Caenorhabditis elegans: one gene and its partner. The protein of the gene in region 1 interacts with the protein of each later gene in a biochemical or structural test. Each region holds a gene or a part of one and is shown in the gene's direction. Other genes may lie near its edges.

Region 1 (7,582 bases):
TGTCCACGTGTCGCTACTGATAATGGGATTCTGAGAATGAAATTATATGATAACTTAATAATTTTCTATTTTACCATGCAAATAAATCCTTGTTTAACCAGCCATTCCAATCGTTTTCTTGTCACAACCACTGACATTCCCATTTTCTCGACTACTTCAGCAGTTGTCCATGTTTCTTTTTCGAGGAACAAGAAGAGGAGAAGAGCGTACATATTTGGAATTGTTCGATCTACTTCAACTCCATCGATATTGATAGAAACCTCTACACATCTTTAAAAAGTTAAAATTCACATGATAATTCAACAAATGAAACTTACCCAACACTTCTTAACCATTCTAATTTTCTGTCGCGCTTCACGTCCAGATAAGTTTCTTGGTAAACGTCCATCGCAGCTTGCAATGGTTGAGGCATTAACTGAAATAATTTTTCATATTGTAACATTGTTGCAATATTCTCACCGCTTCTGTTTTTTCAGTTTCCAACTTTGGCCAATAATGACTTGAGATGATACATGCAGAAATTGGAATAATCGGAACATCATAATTTCCAGCGCTTCTTTCACTCATGTCTTCAAACTTTTTATCAATATCGAGACTATGAATAACGTCCCGAAGCATCACTTCACAATGTTGTAGCTCACTGTATTGGAATCTCAGTTTCAGCAAGTCCAGGTATCGCTTCTCGAATTCAGGCTAAAAAAGATATAGACTTCGTTGAAAACGAAAAGAGTACTTACATCTTTGTTGTCCGAACTCGAAAGTCGTTCAGCAAGAAGATTTCTATATTCTTTGACAAAAAGTTCTTTGGATCCATATACAGAGACAAGCATATTGAAGACGTCAACACCTTGATGCCCGGGTGCTCCATCACCTGAAAATAAGAATAACATTTTAATAACTTTTACTGAATTTGAGAGAATTGTCATTGAACTTCCGTGAGTTTTTATCTGTAATCACTAACCAACAGTAGCATCAGTTGGGTTAGGCATCCAGTTTTCCCATCCAAGCGTCTCCATATTTTCTGGCAAAAAATCATCGTTGACACCTTTCAGTTCTTCCTCGTCCATCATTGCCGATCGAACAGTTTTAGACTGTAAGCTCTTGAAAAGTGTTAGAAAACGTTTTTTTAGTACACGCTTACCATATCTTTTTCCAGTTCATTTTTCTTATTAGAAGTAATGTAACTGATAATTTGTTGTACAGTGTCAGGTCGCCTTCTGAAAAAAAAATTAAATATAATTAAACAATCAGGAAATAGCTTACTTCAAATATTCTCTGATAACTCCACAAACTTTATGCATAACCACGCAACTATTGTCCATTTCACGAAGAGATTCTACGCACGCCGCATAAGCTTTCAAAATGTCTTTTGTATCAACCGCTGAAATTTTAAATATTTAAGTTTTAAATAATTCCCCTCACCAACTTACATGCAACAAGAAGTTTTGTGTTAACTTGATCTATCAAGTAATTTGTGAAATCGACTCTCCCATGATTATTAGTTCTCAAAAGGCAATATTTCATTGTGATGAGACTGCGAAATTTTACTGGAAAATCTACGGCGATCATTTCATATGCCTACAAAAAATATTTTTTAGGTTCCAAATTTTTTTAAAAACTCACGTTTTTGGAAAGCATTTGGAAGACATCTTTGTAAATAGTGTCACTAATTAAATGGAATGCGTCTTGCATTGTTACTTGATCTGACCAAATCCTCAGACTCTCCATAATTTCTTGAAACATTGAACATCTCAGCTCATTGTCAAAAGCCGCTTTCTCGTGCATCACCAATGTTGCAGCAAGCTCGCGAATATACACTGAAAGTGCTGCGTTCATGTGACGATTTGCATTGAGAATTCCAGTTTTTCTGAAAATGTTATATATAATTTAGGAAGTCAGGCTTTACCCACAATTCATTGACAAAAGGATTAAAATCTTGAACATATTGCCCGCATATTTCTTTTTTTTCTGGTGTCCACAGCTCTTGGTTTAAATCGATTCCATGATCGATTTTTCGATGAGGAAGGTACATGGCAACTGAAAAATGTTATTGGAAACTGGGGCTGAATGAAAAAAAAATACGTCTGTAATTAGTGAAGTGCGACATAAAATAAGGTCTGAGAACTTTGATAACAACTTTCTGCATGGCCAGTGGGAAGATGAGCTCTGCAGCATCGCGAATATCCGGTTGACCAACGCCTTTTTCCAATGCAAACTGAAATTATTTTCCATTAGCTTGTTACACCTCTATTTTCTGACCGTTTTCCATAAGGAGAAGATTTTTCAGAGCATTTAATTGAGAATAAGGCTAATTTGTTCTTGATTGGATTTAAAAATTTTAAAACTCACCATCAGGCATTCTTGCTGTACTCGTTGCAGAACTGTCGTCATATCATAAACTTTTTCAATATTTTTTGCGTATTTTGCGTGATATATCAGAGCATCCCAGACTTCTTTTTTCTTTGAGACGCAAAATTGTCTGAAAACTGTCTTTACGGAACTCATTTTCAAAAATTCCATACCTGTACTTCATCGCAGCCTCTTTCGAAGTAGTCATTCTGTCAAAAATGGACATTTTCGAAATGGTTAAAATAATTTCAGCAAGGATACGAGAAGAGAACGATGACAAATGTGTGAGAAACTGTATATATTAAAGGATCATGCTTAAAACGAAGGTTGGGGTCTCGGAAACTACATTTCCACAAAAACCGCGAATAAATGTTCCTTTAAAAATTATACGAAAAAATGTTTGTTTCTTTTTTTTCACACGATTTTTCAGAGTATTTTCTTTCAAATTTCTGTCGATTCCACTTTTCCTCCGTCTTTTGAATGTTCCCATGAAAGAGACATAGACATTGGTTCAGTAGAGCGCATACTACGGGGCAGTCAGCGGCAATTATTTTTTATTGTAATTTTTGAACATTATCAATTTTCCCTGTTTTCAGACCAATAATGGTCAGGGTAAGAGCTGATTTACAATGTTTTAACCCCAGGGACTACCAGGTAATTTTTAAGTAGCAAAATAAATTAAAAATAATCGATTTTCAGGTGGAACTTTTGGATAAAGCGACAAAAAAGAACACAATCGTCCAACTAGGCACTGGTTCAGGAAAAACTTTCATTGCAGTTCTACTGCTGAAAGAATATGGAGTTCAATTGTTTGCACCATTGGATCAGGGTGGAAAACGAGCGTTTTTTGTTGTAGAGAAAGGTAATTTCGTCTATTAAAAATAAGCCAGCTGGCCAGTAAAGTGAATAATTGACAAAAAAAAACAAGATTTATTCTAAAACATCATTTTTTCCAGTAAACCTCGTTGAACAACAAGCTATCCACATCGAAGTTCACACAAGTTTCAAAGTTGGTCAGGTCCACGGACAGACAAGTAGTGGTTTATGGGACAGCAAAGAACAATGTGATCAGTTCATGAAGAGGCACCATGTGAGTGAGAATACGAAGCTGAACTATCGAGCATATATATTTCAGGTTGTTGTGATCACAGCTCAATGCCTTCTTGATTTGATTCGACATGCGTACTTGAAAATTGAAGACATGTGTGTTCTGATCTTTGACGAATGTCATCATGCTCTCGGTTCTCAACATCCATACAGAAGCATCATGGTCGATTATAAGTTATTGAAAAAGGGTAAGTATTGAGGAATTAATGGTGAAACTTCGAATTCGCTTCAAAATACGGAAATATTTTTTCAGACAAACCCGTCCCACGTGTATTAGGACTCACAGCCAGTCTTATCAAAGCGAAAGTTGCGCCGGAAAAACTAATGGAACAGTTAAAAAAGTTGGAATCTGCGATGGACAGTGTTATAGAGACAGCTAGTGATTTAGTCTCGGTATGATTTAAAAAAGACAAACAAAGACTTGTTTCCAATAAAACTAATTTAGCTCTCGAAATACGGTGCGAAACCCTATGAAGTTGTGATCATCTGCAAAGACTTTGAAATTGGGTGCCTGGGTATTCCGAATTTCGACACAGTTATAGAAATATTTGATGAAACTGTAGCCTTTGTGAACACCACAACAGAATTTCATCCAGATCTAGATTTGGATCCTCGTAGACCGATTAAAGATTCTCTCAAGACGACGCGAGCTGTTTTTCGTCAACTGGGACCTTGGGCGGCATGGCGAACGGCTCAAGTTTGGGAGAAAGAGTTGGGAAAAATTATAAAATCTCAAGTGCTACCGGATAAGACGTTGCGGTTTTTGAATATGGCAAAAACATCTATGATTACGATTAAAAGATTGTTGGAACCGGAGGTGCGTACCTAACAAGAGACGTTGGAAAATGGTACCTCGAAGTATCGTTATGGTATAGCAATTTTTCGACAAAAAAGTGTTATCATTCGAAAAAGTTCGTAACTCCCTACTCACCAAGAGAGCTACAAATCTTGAGCAAGATTTCAAATTGTAAGATTGTAGCTCAATTCATGGCTTTTTGAGAATTATGGGCTGAAGCTTGAATGCTATATGTTTTTTAAAAACAATTTACGAATATTTGGAAACACTTTTTTTAAGTTGAAAGTTTTTTCAAAAGGGGTGAAACTGCTCGGACGCAGCTGAATTTTTGGAATGATCCTCAATAACACTTTTAATCTAAAATTACTATTCTATATTGAACTCCAAGTTAGCATTTTCCAACTTCCAGTGTAAGCAATCAACTATTAATTACACCAATTTTTTCCAATTTAGATGAAGAAAATCAAAAGTATTGAAGCTCTCCGTCCATATGTTCCTCAACGTGTCATACGTCTTTTCGAAATCCTAGAAACTTTCAACCCCGAATTTCAAAAAGAACGAATGAAGTTAGAAAAAGCAGAACATTTATCAGCCATTATTTTTGTCGATCAACGGTACATTGCATATTCGTTACTTGTAGGTTTATATGAATGTTACGGTAATATATTGTAAATTTTCAGCTTATGATGCGTCATATTAAATCATGGGAGCCTAAGTTCAAGTTTGTGAACCCGGATTACGTCGTTGGAGCCAGCGGACGAAATTTGGCGAGTTCGGATAGTCAAGGATTACATAAACGACAAACTGAAGTAAATTTATGTTTAAATTATCATTGTCTAAATATAATTTTTAGGTTCTTCGCCGTTTCCATCGAAATGAAATCAATTGTCTTATCGCTACATCAGTGCTTGAAGAAGGTGTAGATGTTAAACAATGTAATCTTGTGATTAAATTTGATCGACCACTTGACATGAGATCATACGTTCAGTCAAAGGGAAGAGCTCGGCGAGCTGGATCAAGATATGTTATCACTGTTGAGGAGAAAGATACTGCGGCGTGTGATAGTGATTTGAAAGATTTCCAGCAAATAGAAAAAGTAATATTGGAATCTTCAGTTCAATTGTTTAAAAAATGATATTAAGATTCTTCTTAGCCGCCATCGTACAGTCAACAATCCTATTGAAGATGATTCGGATAGATTTGAAGAATTTGATGTTGATTCTCAAATGGAACCATATGTTGTTGAAAAAACTGGTGCAACATTGAAAATGTCAACTGCTATCGCATTAATTAATAGGTATATTAATAATTTCACTTTAGAAGTTTAATCCAACAGCTAAATACAAACAATTGGTAATCTTCCAGATATTGTTCGAAGCTTCCTTCCGATATCTTCACTCGTCTTGTTCCACACAATCAAATCATTCCAATTGAAGAGAATGGAGTGACCAAATACTGTGCAGAGCTTCTTCTTCCAATTAACTCACCGATCAAACATGCAATTGTGCTCAAAAATCCAATGCCAAATAAGAAGACTGCACAGATGGCAGTTGCACTTGAAGCATGTCGACAATTACATTTAGAAGGAGAACTCGATGATAATTTACTTCCAAAAGGAAGAGAGTCGATTGCCAAATTATTAGAACATATTGATGAGGAGCCGGATGAGTATGCACCTGGAATTGCTGCTAAAGTTGGATCATCAAAACGAAAGCAATTATATGACAAAAAGGTATTTTCGTATATTCGATTTTCTAAAAGTCGCTCAATTCAATGAAAATAATTTAATTATCGGAAAAGTAATAGTGATAATTAAGTAAAAATAATTAAAAATTTACAGATTGCTCGTGCTCTCAATGAATCCTTCGTGGAAGCAGATAAGGAATGTTTCATCTATGCATTCGAATTGGAACGTTTCCGGGAAGCCGAACTTACGTTGAACCCGAAAAGACGAAAGTTTGAAGATCCATTTAATTATGAATATTGCTTCGGATTTCTGAGCGCAAAAGAGATACCAAAGGTACATTTTTCTGTTTGATAGCTAATAATATTTATTTGTAGATCCCACCATTCCCAGTGTTTCTTCGACAAGGAAATATGAAAGTCCGATTGATTGTCGCACCGAAAAAGGTTTTCACCTGAAAATGAGCTTATCTATTTTTACAATTCCTAAATTTCAGACTACCGTAACCGCTGCTCAGCTTCAAGAGATTCAACTGTTCCATAATTATTTGTTCACACAAGTTCTTCAAATGTGTAAAACGGGAAATTTGGAATTCGATGGAACATCAAATGCACCATTGAACACGTTGATTGTTCCACTTAACAAGCGTATGTTCTACGTCATATTCAGATATTTCTTCAAAATTAAAGCATGTCTACTAAATTATAAGGATAATTTTTTCAAAAAAAAAAATTCTACAGTATAAAAATGAACTCAAGTTATAGGAAAAGATGATATGTCCTACACAATCAACATGAAATATGTATCGGAAGTAGTTGCAAACATGGAAAATATGCCACGTATTCCAAAAGATGAAGTTCGTCGTCAATACAAATTCAACGCTGAAGATTATAAGGATGCGATCGTAATGCCGTGGTATCGAAATCTGGAACAGCCTGTATTCTACTATGTTGCTGAAATTCTACCAGAATGGAGGCCGTCGTCGAAATTCCCGGATACGCACTTCGAAACGTTTAACGAGTATTTCATCAAGAAATATAAATTAGAGATTTATGATCAGAATCAAAGTTTATTGGATGTAGATTTCACATCTACGTAAGTTATTTTGTCAATCTTGTCCAAAAAGTCATAAATATTCATATTTAAATTTTTCAGTCGTCTTAACCTTCTTCAACCTCGAATTCAAAATCAACCACGTCGTTCAAGAACTGTGAGTAACTCCTCAACGTCAAATATTCCTCAAGCATCTGCTTCTGATTCAAAAGAGTCGAATACTTCCGTTCCACACTCTTCACAACGTCAGATCCTTGTACCGGAATTGATGGACATTCATCCTATCTCTGCGACTCTTTGGAATGTTATAGCAGCCCTGCCAAGTATTTTCTATCGTGTTAATCAGTTATTGTTGACTGATGAACTTCGAGAAACAATTTTGGTGAAAGCTTTTGGAAAAGAGAAAACTAAACTGGATGATAATGTTGAATGGAATTCTCTGGCATATGCAACCGAATATGAAGAGAAACAAACGATAATCGTTAAGAAAATTCAACAATTGAGAGATTTAAATCAAAAATCGATTGAAGATCAAGAAAGAGAGACGAGAGAAAATGATAAGATTGACGATGGTGAGGAGTTATTCAATATTG
Region 2 (10,334 bases), on another chromosome or scaffold:
ACAAAAATATTACAAATCCGAAGAAAATTTTAGGAAAACATGATTCCACACTACAGTAGTCGTTAAAGTAGTCTAACACGAAGAAATTTTTCGTTCGCGTCGAGACCACGTACCGTAACTTTTTGAACTTTGCGAAATAGTTTTTTTTGCAACGACTAATAACGACTATAGGGAAAAAATCACTGTAGGAAGTTCAAAAAATTTGCCTTATTTCAGAGAAAATGACACGTCGAAGGAGAAGGATTTTTTTACTCTAATTATTTTTCTTACTTGTTGAAAAGAAATAAATAAATTTAATTTGTACCACGCGTGACCTTTTTAATTCAAATTCCGACAAAAAAAACCCACATGGGCCAAGGATGGTCAGTCTTAACTTTAGTGTTGATTGTGAGATTCGAAATTGCTCGTGACAAGATGAGACTTCTTCTTCTTCTTCTCCTTGCAACGATTTCAATGTCTGCCGCTGTAAATGAGGTAAGCTTTTAATTTCTAGACGTCTCTTTCTATATATATTTTGTTTTCAGTTTGAACTAACACTCAAACAACAGAGCACTTTATGACGGCACACTTCACAACTTGCTAAACTTTTTGTTCGTGGACACTGCAACGTACGCAGGCGTCGGTGAAAAACTTGAGTCAGCTTATCTCGAAATCGTTTGTTGATAAATAGTCAGGATTTTGTTTCAGATTCAATTTTGGAAAGTGCCGTGAGAACCGTGCGAAGAAGCTCATCTCGGGACATGGATATTTCATCGCTGAACATGGAAAAGGAGTGTGGGAGAACTTGTACTATCTTCCACGTAGCAACGGCGAGTATCTGTTCCTTCCACGTGCTTAGATGTGTGGGATTGATGGACGCGATATTTGATTTTTTGAAATTATTAAGTTCTGTTCTACAGAATTTTCAATAAAAAGTTTTCTTTGGCTCTTGCGTTACTTATGTTACTAATTAGTGTTATTTATATTATCAACAAGAATTAAAATTAAAATTTTAAGAAACATTGAAGCTTTGCATTAAAAATTTAAAACGTTTATTTTAATTCAATTTTTAAAATTTGGCTCACTGCGATTCTGCGTGAAATGTGATGTTTCTACAGTAACCCGTACAACCAAGGCATCGAACTTCACGACATTTACGAATTCAAATTTGAATTGCAAACTTTTTAATTTTATCGATTTTCTTTCTTTTTGAGCTTTATCAATAGCTCTAAGCGATTATTCAACAGAATTTCACTTTTTTACGCCTAAATGATTGAAAATTTGATAAAATATCAATAATTTACGGTTATCCTCTTCGTAATCTTCGCTTTCTTCCCAGAGTAGTGAAAATATCGACTTTTTGATAGAAACTGGATTTTTTAACTTCCCTGTTCGAAAAACTATTTTTCCTTAAATGAGATCTGAAATAAGGTGATAAATTAATAAATTAAGTGTATTTCTGAGGAAATTTGACTGTTTTAGCACAATTAATCTTGTTTCAGAAAAAAAGTCCAGTTTTCTAGATTTTTCCGTCTTATTGTCGAATTAATATCCCTATTATCACTTTTTCATGCTCATCCTCGAGCGGCAGCGTCTCAAAGAATTGTGAGAGCAAACGCGCTCCATTGACCTCCACACTCAGCCGCCAAAAACAAACGTTCGAACATTCGTGTGTTGTGCCTCCTTTTCCGTTATCTTGCAGTCATCTTTTGTCGTTTTTTTCTTTGTTCTTTTTGTTGAACGTGTTGCTAAGCAATTATTACATCAATTGAAGAAAAGGCTCGCCGATTTATTGTTGCCAGAAAGATTCTGAGATTCTCGAAGTCGATTTTATAATATTTAACCTTGGTTTTTGCATTGTTTCGTTTAAAAAAACCACTGTTTATGTGAAAAACGATTAGTTTACTAATAAAACTACTTTTAAACCTTTACCTTTACCTCACCGCTCCGTGTTCATGGCTCATAGATTTTCGATACTCAAATCCAAAAATAAATTTACGAGGGCAATTAATGTGAAACAAAAACAATCCTAAGATTTCCACATGTTTGACCTCTCCGGCACCTTCTTCCTTAGCCCCACCACTCCATCACCTCTTTGGCGGTGTTCTTCGAAACCCACTTAGGAAAGCAGTGTGTATCTCATTTGGTATGCTCTTTTCGATTTTATAGCTCTTTGTCGCAATTTCAATGCTTTAAACAATCCAAATCGCATTATATTTGTGCATGGAGGCAAATGACGGGGTTGGAATCTTAGATGAGATCAGGAGCTTTCAGGGTAAACGCCCGGTTCATTTTGTACCACATTTCATCATTTTCCTGTCGTCCTTGGTATCCTCAACTTGTCCCGGTTTTGTTTTCGGTACACTCTTCCGTGATGCCACCTGCTCCGTCTCAATTATCGTTTAGAAATGTGAACTGTCCAGATGGGTGACTCATATTGCTGCTGCTACAATCCACTTTCTTTTCTCATCGGCATGCTTACGAGCCCATCATAAACTTTTTTTTCCGCGAAATTTGCAATAAACCGGCCAAAAACTTTCTCCAAATTGTTACGCAATATATACAATCCATAAGAATATCTTCTCAATGTTTATGATTTCTTCGCAGCACTTTCTCTTCGTGTGCTAACATCTTATTTTTATAATATTTCCGCTAAAATTCCGATTTTTGAGTATTAATTTATCGTAAAATTATCATAATAGCACCGAAAACTACAAAAAATGGTAAAGTCTTTTAAATCGGCTCGACATTATCGTATTAAGGAATCACAAAATTCTGAGAATGCGTACTGCGCAACATATTTGACGCGCAAAATATCTCGTAGCGAAAACTACAGTAATTCTTTAAATGACTACTGTAGCGCTTGTGTCGATTTACGGGCTCAATTTTTGAAAATAATTTTTTTTTTCGAATTTTGACAACCCGTAAATCGTCACAAGCGCTACGGTAGTCATTTAAAGGATTACTGTAGTTCTAGCTACGAGATATTTTGCGCGCCAAATATGATGCGTAATACGCATTCTCTGAATTTTGTGTTTCCGTAATAATTTCACAAGATTTTGGCATTCCTCTTTAAAGGCGCACGGATTTATTCCAATGGGTCTCGGCACGCAAAAAGTTTGATAGACTTTTAAATTCTCCTTGCATTTTTAATTCAATTACTAAAATTTTCGTGAATTTTTCTGTTAAAATTTTTAAAATCAGTTTTCTAATATTTTCCAGGCTGACAAACAGAAACAAAAACACAACAAACATTTTAAAAATCAGTTTTCAAATTAAAAATAACGATTTCTCATTGAAAATTGTGTTTTATGTTTGCGAAAATAAAAGAGAACTGATTCAAAACAATTTTAACAAAAAAAAACCCCAAAATTCGCCAGAAATCAAGATAAAAAATTCAAGAGGGTCAAAATTTTCCGATTTTACTGACTTTCACCTTTTTTTTCGTAGTTCAGTGCAGTTGTTGGAGTTTTTGACGAAAACTAGGAAAAAAATCGATAAAAATTACTCAAATCGAGCTGAATTTTGAGGACAATGTTTAAAAAAAAACACTATTTTTCCAATAATTTCACTCATTTTCAGACTAAATCGAAAATCAAATCGTACTCTGACTACGGGTCAGTAGAGAGGTCAACCATCAGCCGAAGATGATGCGTCAAGATAGAAGGAGCTTGCTAGAGAGGAACATTATGATGTTCTCTAGTCATCTAAAAGTCGATGAAATTCTCGAAGTTCTCATCGCAAAACAAGTGTTGAATAGTGATAATGGAGATATGATTAATGTGAGTTTTTAATCGAATAATAATTTTAAAAAAAAATTGATAATATAAAGAATATTTTTGCAGTCATGTGGAACGGTTCGCGAGAAGAGACGGGAGATCGTGAAAGCAGTGCAACGACGGGGAGATGTGGCGTTCGACGCGTTTTATGATGCTCTTCGCTCTACGGGACACGAAGGACTTGCTGAAGTTCTTGAACCTCTCGCCAGATCGTAGGTTTTTAAAGTTCGGCGCAAAAGCAAGGGTCTCACGGAAAAAGAGGCGGATCGTAATTTTGCAACCCACCGGCACGGTTTTTTCCTCCGAAAATCGGAAATTATGCACTTTCCCAAATATTTGAAGTGAAATATATTTTATTTACTGAAAGCTCGAGTGATTATTTATTTTTTAACACTAATTTTCGTGGCGCAAAAGGCCATTTTGTAGATTTGCCGAAAATACTTGTCACACACACACACACACATCTCCTTCAAATATCCCTTTTTTCCAGTGTTGACTCGAATGCTGTCGAATTCGAGTGTCCAATGTCACCGGCAAGCCATCGTCGGAGCCGCGCATTGAGCCCCGCCGGCTACACTTCACCGACCCGAGTTCACCGTGACAGCGTCTCTTCAGTGTCATCATTCACTTCTTATCAGGATATCTACTCAAGAGCAAGATCTCGTTCTCGATCGCGTGCACTTCATTCATCGGATCGACACAATTATTCATCTCCTCCAGTCAACGCATTTCCCAGCCAACCTTGTATGTTGATGCGAACACTAAATTCTGAGAATGCGCATTACTCAACATATTTGACGCGCAAAATATCTCGTAGCGAAAAATACAGTAACCCTTTAAATGACTATTGTAGTGTCGATTTACGGGCTCGATTTTCGAAACGAATATATGCTCGAATTGTGACAACGAATTTTAATTTGTCATTTTTGTGTTTTCTTTTGATATTTTTGATCAATTAATAAATTATTTCCGTAAACAGACACCAGCGCTACAGTACTCTTTTAAAGAGTTACAGTAGTTTTCGCTTCAAGATATTTTGAAAAGAATTTTAAACATTTTGAAAAAAAATCATCTAACATGTGCCAAAACGCTTTTTTCAAGTTTCGCAGATTTTTTGATTTTTTTCATTCAAGATATGCTTATTAACACATATAATTATCATTAATGTGAATATCTTGTAGAAATTTTGGTTTTCGTTCTAGTATGCTCTACTTTTGAAATTGCTCAACGAAAAAATCATGTGGTTGTTCATATGATGACGAAAAATGCATTTTTTATATATTTTCCCCTATTCATGTGTGCAGAAAAATGTAAAAAAGCGCATGCATTTTTCGACATTTTTTACATCGAACGACAGCTCACTTCACATGCTGAAGACGAGAGACGCGGAGAAATACCACACATCTTTCTGCGTCTCTCGTCTTCAGCATGTGAAATGGGATGTCGGTCGATGTAAAAAAATGTCGAATAATGTAAAAAATGCATGCGTTTTTTTACACTTTTCTGCACAAATGAATAGGGGGAAAATGTATTAAAATACATTTTTTGTATTTTTCAACATCACATGATTAACCCCATTATTTTTTCGTTGAGCAACTTAAAAAGTAGAGAATATTAGAGCGAAAACCAAAATTTCTTCAAGATATTACCTTTATTGATAATTATAGATGTTAATAAGCATATCTTGAATGAAAGTCAGCAAAAATATGTGCGAAACACCTGAAAAAAATCAAAAATTCTGCGAAAATTGAAAAAATGCATTAAAATACATTTTTGCATTTTTCTACATCACATGAATGTAGAAAATTAAAAGGGAAATCAAAATTTCTAGAGGATATAATTGAATGAAACATTGCGAAATTAAAATGTGCGAAACGTCAAAAAAGAGGAAATTTGGGTATCAAAATCGATCCTAAAACCAACACATTTCAGCATCCGCCAACTCTTCATTCACCGGATGCTCTTCTCTCGGATACAGTTCAAGTCGTAATCGCTCATTCAGCAAAGCTTCTGGACCAACTCAATACATATTCCATGAAGAGGATATGAACTTTGTCGATGCACCAACCATAAGCCGTGTTTTCGACGAGAAAACCATGTACAGAAACTTCTCGAGTCCTCGTGGAATGTGCCTCATCATAAATAATGAACACTTTGAGCAGATGCCAACACGGAATGGTACCAAGGCCGACAAGGACAATCTTACCAATTTGTTCAGATGCATGGGCTATACGGTTATTTGCAAGGACAATCTGACGGGAAGGGTACGGCGAAATTATATTACCCAAACGCGAAATTTTTGCCATTTTTGCGCCGAAAATGTGGCGCCCGGTCTCGACACGACAATTTGTGTTAAATGCAAAAATGTATAATTTTGCAAAAAACAAAATTTTGAACTTCCGCGAAAATGATTTACCTAGTTTCGAAATTTTCGTTTTTTCCGGCTACATTATGTGTTTTTTCTTAGTTTTTCTATAATATTTGATGTAAAAAACCGTTTGTAAATTTTCAGACAATTTTCCGCATACAAAACTTGATAGCACGAAATCAATTTTCTGAATTTTCAAAATTATCCAAAAATGCACAATTTAAAATTTGTGAAAATTGGCAAACGGTGTTTCAATATGAAATGTATTTTTAAAAACTTTAAAAACCACTCCGGAAAAGCAATAAAAATCAAAACAACGTCACAATTCAAATTCAAAAGTTATTCATCCGATTTGTTTATTTTTGCAAAATTTGAAAAAATCATGAAGGATTTAGAAAAGTTTTATAACATTTTTTCTAGATTTTTCAAAATTTTTTTTAACAAATCGAGAAAAAGAGAATGAAAAATCGATTTTAAAAATATCCACAGCAACGAGAGTTTGAAATTACAGTACTCCTTAAAGGCGCACACCCCATTTGCATTGACCAAAAATTTGTCGTGTCGAGACCAGGTACCGTAGTTTTTGTCGCAAAAATTGCACCATTGGACAATAAACCTTCCTAATCACCAAAAAGTAAAATTGAAATCTTCGAAAAGCCAAAAAATTCAAAAAAAAAGTCGAATTTCGATTTTTTTTTTGGTTTTTTGGTCCCAAAAACCAAAAAATCAATTTTTCGTCAAAATACCAAAAGAAACCCAAAAAATTTCCCAGCCTTGTTCCTAATGTAAACTGATATTTAATTTCCAGGGAATGCTCCTGACAATTCGAGACTTTGCCAAACACGAATCACACGGAGATTCTGCGATACTCGTGATTCTATCACACGGAGAAGAGAATGTGATTATTGGAGTTGATGATATACCGATTAGTACACACGAGATATATGATCTTCTCAACGCGGCAAATGCTCCCCGTCTGGCGAATAAGCCGAAAATCGTTTTTGTGCAGGCTTGTCGAGGCGGTTCGTTTTTTATTTTAATTTTAATATAAATATTTTAAATAAATTCATTTTCAGAACGTCGTGACAATGGATTCCCAGTCTTGGATTCTGTCGACGGAGTTCCTGCATTTCTTCGTCGTGGATGGGACAATCGAGACGGGCCATTGTTCAATTTTCTTGGATGTGTGCGGCCGCAAGTTCAGGTTGCAATTTAATTTCTTGAATGAGAATATTCCTTCAAAAAATCTAAAATAGATTTTTATTCCAGAAAGTCCGACGAAAAAATTGCGATATAATTACGAAATTTGTGATAAAATGACAAACCAATCAGCATCGTCGATCTCCGCCCACTTCATCGGATTGGTTTGAAAGTGGGCGGAGTGAATTGCTGATTGGTCGCAGTTTTCAGTTTAGAGGGAATTTAAAAATCGCCTTTTCGAAAATTAAAAATTGATTTTTTCAATTTTTTCGAAAAATATTCCGATTATTTTATATTCTTTGGAGCGAAAGCCCCGTCCTGTAAACATTTTTAAATGATAATTAATAAATTTTTGCAGCAAGTGTGGAGAAAGAAGCCGAGCCAAGCTGACATTCTGATTGCATACGCAACGACAGCTCAATATGTTTCGTGGAGAAACAGTGCTCGTGGATCATGGTTCATTCAAGCCGTCTGTGAAGTGTTCTCGACACACGCAAAGGATATGGATGTTGTTGAGCTGCTGACTGAAGTCAATAAGAAGGTCGCTTGTGGATTTCAGACATCACAGGGATCGAATATTTTGAAACAGATGCCAGAGGTACTTGAACAACAATCGATCTGCTAACTTTTTAAGGCACAGAAAAATAGGCAGAGCGTCCTTTTGCAAGCCTGCCGCGCGTCAACCTAGAATTTTAGTTTTTAGCTAAAATGATTGATTTTGAATATTTTATGCTAATTTTTTTGCGTTAAATTTTGAAATAGTCACTATTTATCGGGTTTCCAGTAAAAAATGTTTATTAGCCATTGGATTTTACTGAAAACGAAAATTTGTAGTTTTTCAACGAAATTTATCGATTTTTAAATGTAAAAAAAAATAGCGAAAATACATCAACATCAAGCATTTAAGCCAAAAATTGTTAACTCATTTAAAAAATTAATTCAAAGTTGTCCACGAGTATTACACGGTTGGCGCGCGGCAAGTTTGCAAAACGACGCTCCGCCTCTTTTTCTGTGCGGCTTGAAAACAAGGGTATCGGTTTTAGATTTTTCCCCAAAATTTAAATTAAATTTCAGATGACATCCCGCCTGCTCAAAAAGTTCTACTTTTGGCCGGAAGCACGAAACTCTGCCGTCTAAAATTCACTCGTGATTCATTGCCCAATTGATAATTGTCTGTATCTTCTCCCCCAGTTCTCTTTCGCCCAATTAGTTTAAAACCATGTGTATATTGTTATCCTATACTCATTTCACTTTATCATTCTATCATTTCTCTTCCCATTTTCACACATTTCCATTTCTCTACGATAATCTAAAATTATGACGTTTGTGTCTCGAACGCATAATAATTTTAATAACTCGTTTTGAATTTGATTAGTTGTTGTGCCCAGTATATATGTATGTACTATGCTTCTATCAACAAAATAGTTTCATAGATCATCACCCCAACCCCACCAACCTACCGTACCATATTCATTTTTGCCGGGAATCAATTTCGATTAATTTTAACCTATTTTTTCGCCACAAAAAATCTAATATTTGAATTAACGAATAGCATTCCCATCTCTCCCCGTGCCGGAATGCCTCCCGGCCTTTTAAAGTTCGGAACATTTGGCCAATTATGTATAAAATTTTGTAGGTCCCCCCCATCATTTCCCGCCCATCATCTCAAATTGCATTCTTTTTTCGCCGTGATATCCCGATTCTGGTCAGCAAAGATCTTTCTCATAGCCCATTCCATTCGAGCTTTCTAATAGGAATTTGAAAATTTTCGAAATTCCAGTAAATAATATTGGAAAATGGATTTTTCGAGTTTTCAGCAACACAAATTTACTTGAAACCCCATTTTCCAAAATTTCAATTTTTTCAAATTTCCCGCTATCTTCCAAAATACTCTTGTACGTTTATTATATTTCCCTCGTTTTTCTTCGATTCCTCCTCTCCGCGCACCCAATAAGTTTTATATATGTTGAGATTTATATAGCTTGTTATTATAATTATATATTTATAGATTATTATAGTTGCTTTTCTCGCCGTATGTTTGTGTGTGTGTGATTGGTATACATAGATAAAAGAAAACAAGGTGTTAACAAAACAAAGGTGAAAAATAATCAACAATTAAAGAAGGAAACAAGCTAATATAAAATTTCGCACATATATGATATGCAAGCTTCTGACAATTCCCTAGTGAGTACTACAGATTAAGAATATGTGCACAAAAATTAAAGGCTGAATTTAAGCTTCTCAAACCTCCCAGATTACAAATATTACGGGAACATATAATTCTGAGCATGCGTACTGTGCAACATACTTGACGCGCAAAATATCTCGTAGCGAAAACTACAGTAATTCTATAAATGACTACAGTAGCTCTTGTATCGATTTACGGGCTCGAATTTCAAAATGAATTAAAATAATTTATTTGTCGATGGAATATTAAAATTAAGCAAAACATGAGAAAATAATACGAAATAACCAAGGGAAAAATGAGAAGTTGCTGTCACTATTCAAAAAGTCCCTCATTTCGAAAATGGGGACCGTAAATCGACACAAGCGGTACAGTAGTCACTTAAAATAATTACTGTAGTTTTCGCTACGAGATAGCTTGCGCGTCAAAAATGTTGCCGAGTACGCATTCTCAGAATTGTTTGTTCCCGTAATATAATTTTCTAAATGTACGTCCTTATATTATATTCTCAAAGTGCAAGAAGTCATTAGAAGTTATAATATATGAAATTTTTATCAGATTTCATATTTCAGTTTTTGAAACAATATTATGTAAACTCAAAATTTATCTGACCTCAAACATTCATGACTGTTCCCACTTTCTCATTCCCACGAGGTGCAATGATAGAGCTACATTAGAGACAGGTGTTCATAGGACCATACTATTTGCTCGCAATCCTCGATTGTTCACCCTTTCTTGTTTTTTCATTCTCTTTCGTTCTGTAAGATAGCACTTCTCTATTTTCTGGTTATTCCAAACAATGACCAAGCCTCTTCATGACATT

The links. Proteins that work in one complex are often made in the same cells at the same time.
Region 2: of the proteins of dcr-1 (region 1) and ced-3, one has a biochemical effect on the other in vitro, tested with the Caenorhabditis elegans proteins (2 studies listed by BioGRID).

The regions. Positions count from the first base shown.
Region 1 is NC_003281.10:8,075,645-8,083,226, reverse strand, and holds the start of dcr-1 (Death-promoting deoxyribonuclease), read left to right. Parts: upstream 1-2,945; 5' UTR 2,946-2,952; coding exon 2,953-3,003; intron 3,004-3,048; coding exon 3,049-3,211; intron 3,212-3,305; coding exon 3,306-3,439; intron 3,440-3,484; coding exon 3,485-3,644; intron 3,645-3,709; coding exon 3,710-3,849; intron 3,850-3,901; coding exon 3,902-4,273; intron 4,274-4,705; coding exon 4,706-4,888; intron 4,889-4,932; coding exon 4,933-5,061; intron 5,062-5,105; coding exon 5,106-5,348; intron 5,349-5,394; coding exon 5,395-5,549; intron 5,550-5,617; coding exon 5,618-5,984; intron 5,985-6,092; coding exon 6,093-6,272; intron 6,273-6,313; coding exon 6,314-6,382; intron 6,383-6,432; coding exon 6,433-6,583; intron 6,584-6,700; coding exon 6,701-7,031; intron 7,032-7,091; coding exon 7,092-7,582. Other genes in the region: apc-2 (Anaphase-promoting complex subunit 2), read right to left, coding at 1-30, 75-270, 318-415, 460-693, 738-871, 962-1,100, 1,142-1,217, 1,264-1,381 and 6 more. UniProt on the Caenorhabditis elegans protein: Component of the ERI/DICER complex which is involved in processing amplified double-stranded RNA (dsRNA) intermediates during small-RNA-mediated gene-silencing or RNA interference (RNAi). Involved in cleaving dsRNA in the RNAi pathway.
Region 2 is NC_003282.8:13,197,359-13,207,692, reverse strand, and holds ced-3 (Cell death protein 3 subunit p17), read left to right. Parts: upstream 1-3,555; 5' UTR 3,556-3,626; coding exon 3,627-3,761; intron 3,762-3,824; coding exon 3,825-3,970; intron 3,971-4,248; coding exon 4,249-4,502; intron 4,503-5,690; coding exon 5,691-6,022; intron 6,023-6,934; coding exon 6,935-7,148; intron 7,149-7,202; coding exon 7,203-7,330; intron 7,331-7,403; exon of another isoform or gene 7,404-7,553; intron 7,554-7,684; coding exon 7,685-7,924; intron 7,925-8,400; coding exon 8,401-8,463; 3' UTR 8,464-9,432; downstream 9,433-10,334. Other genes in the region: C48D1.9 (VHS domain-containing protein), read left to right, coding at 217-225; C48D1.1 (Zer-1-like leucine-rich repeats region domain-containing protein), read left to right, coding at 10,311-10,334.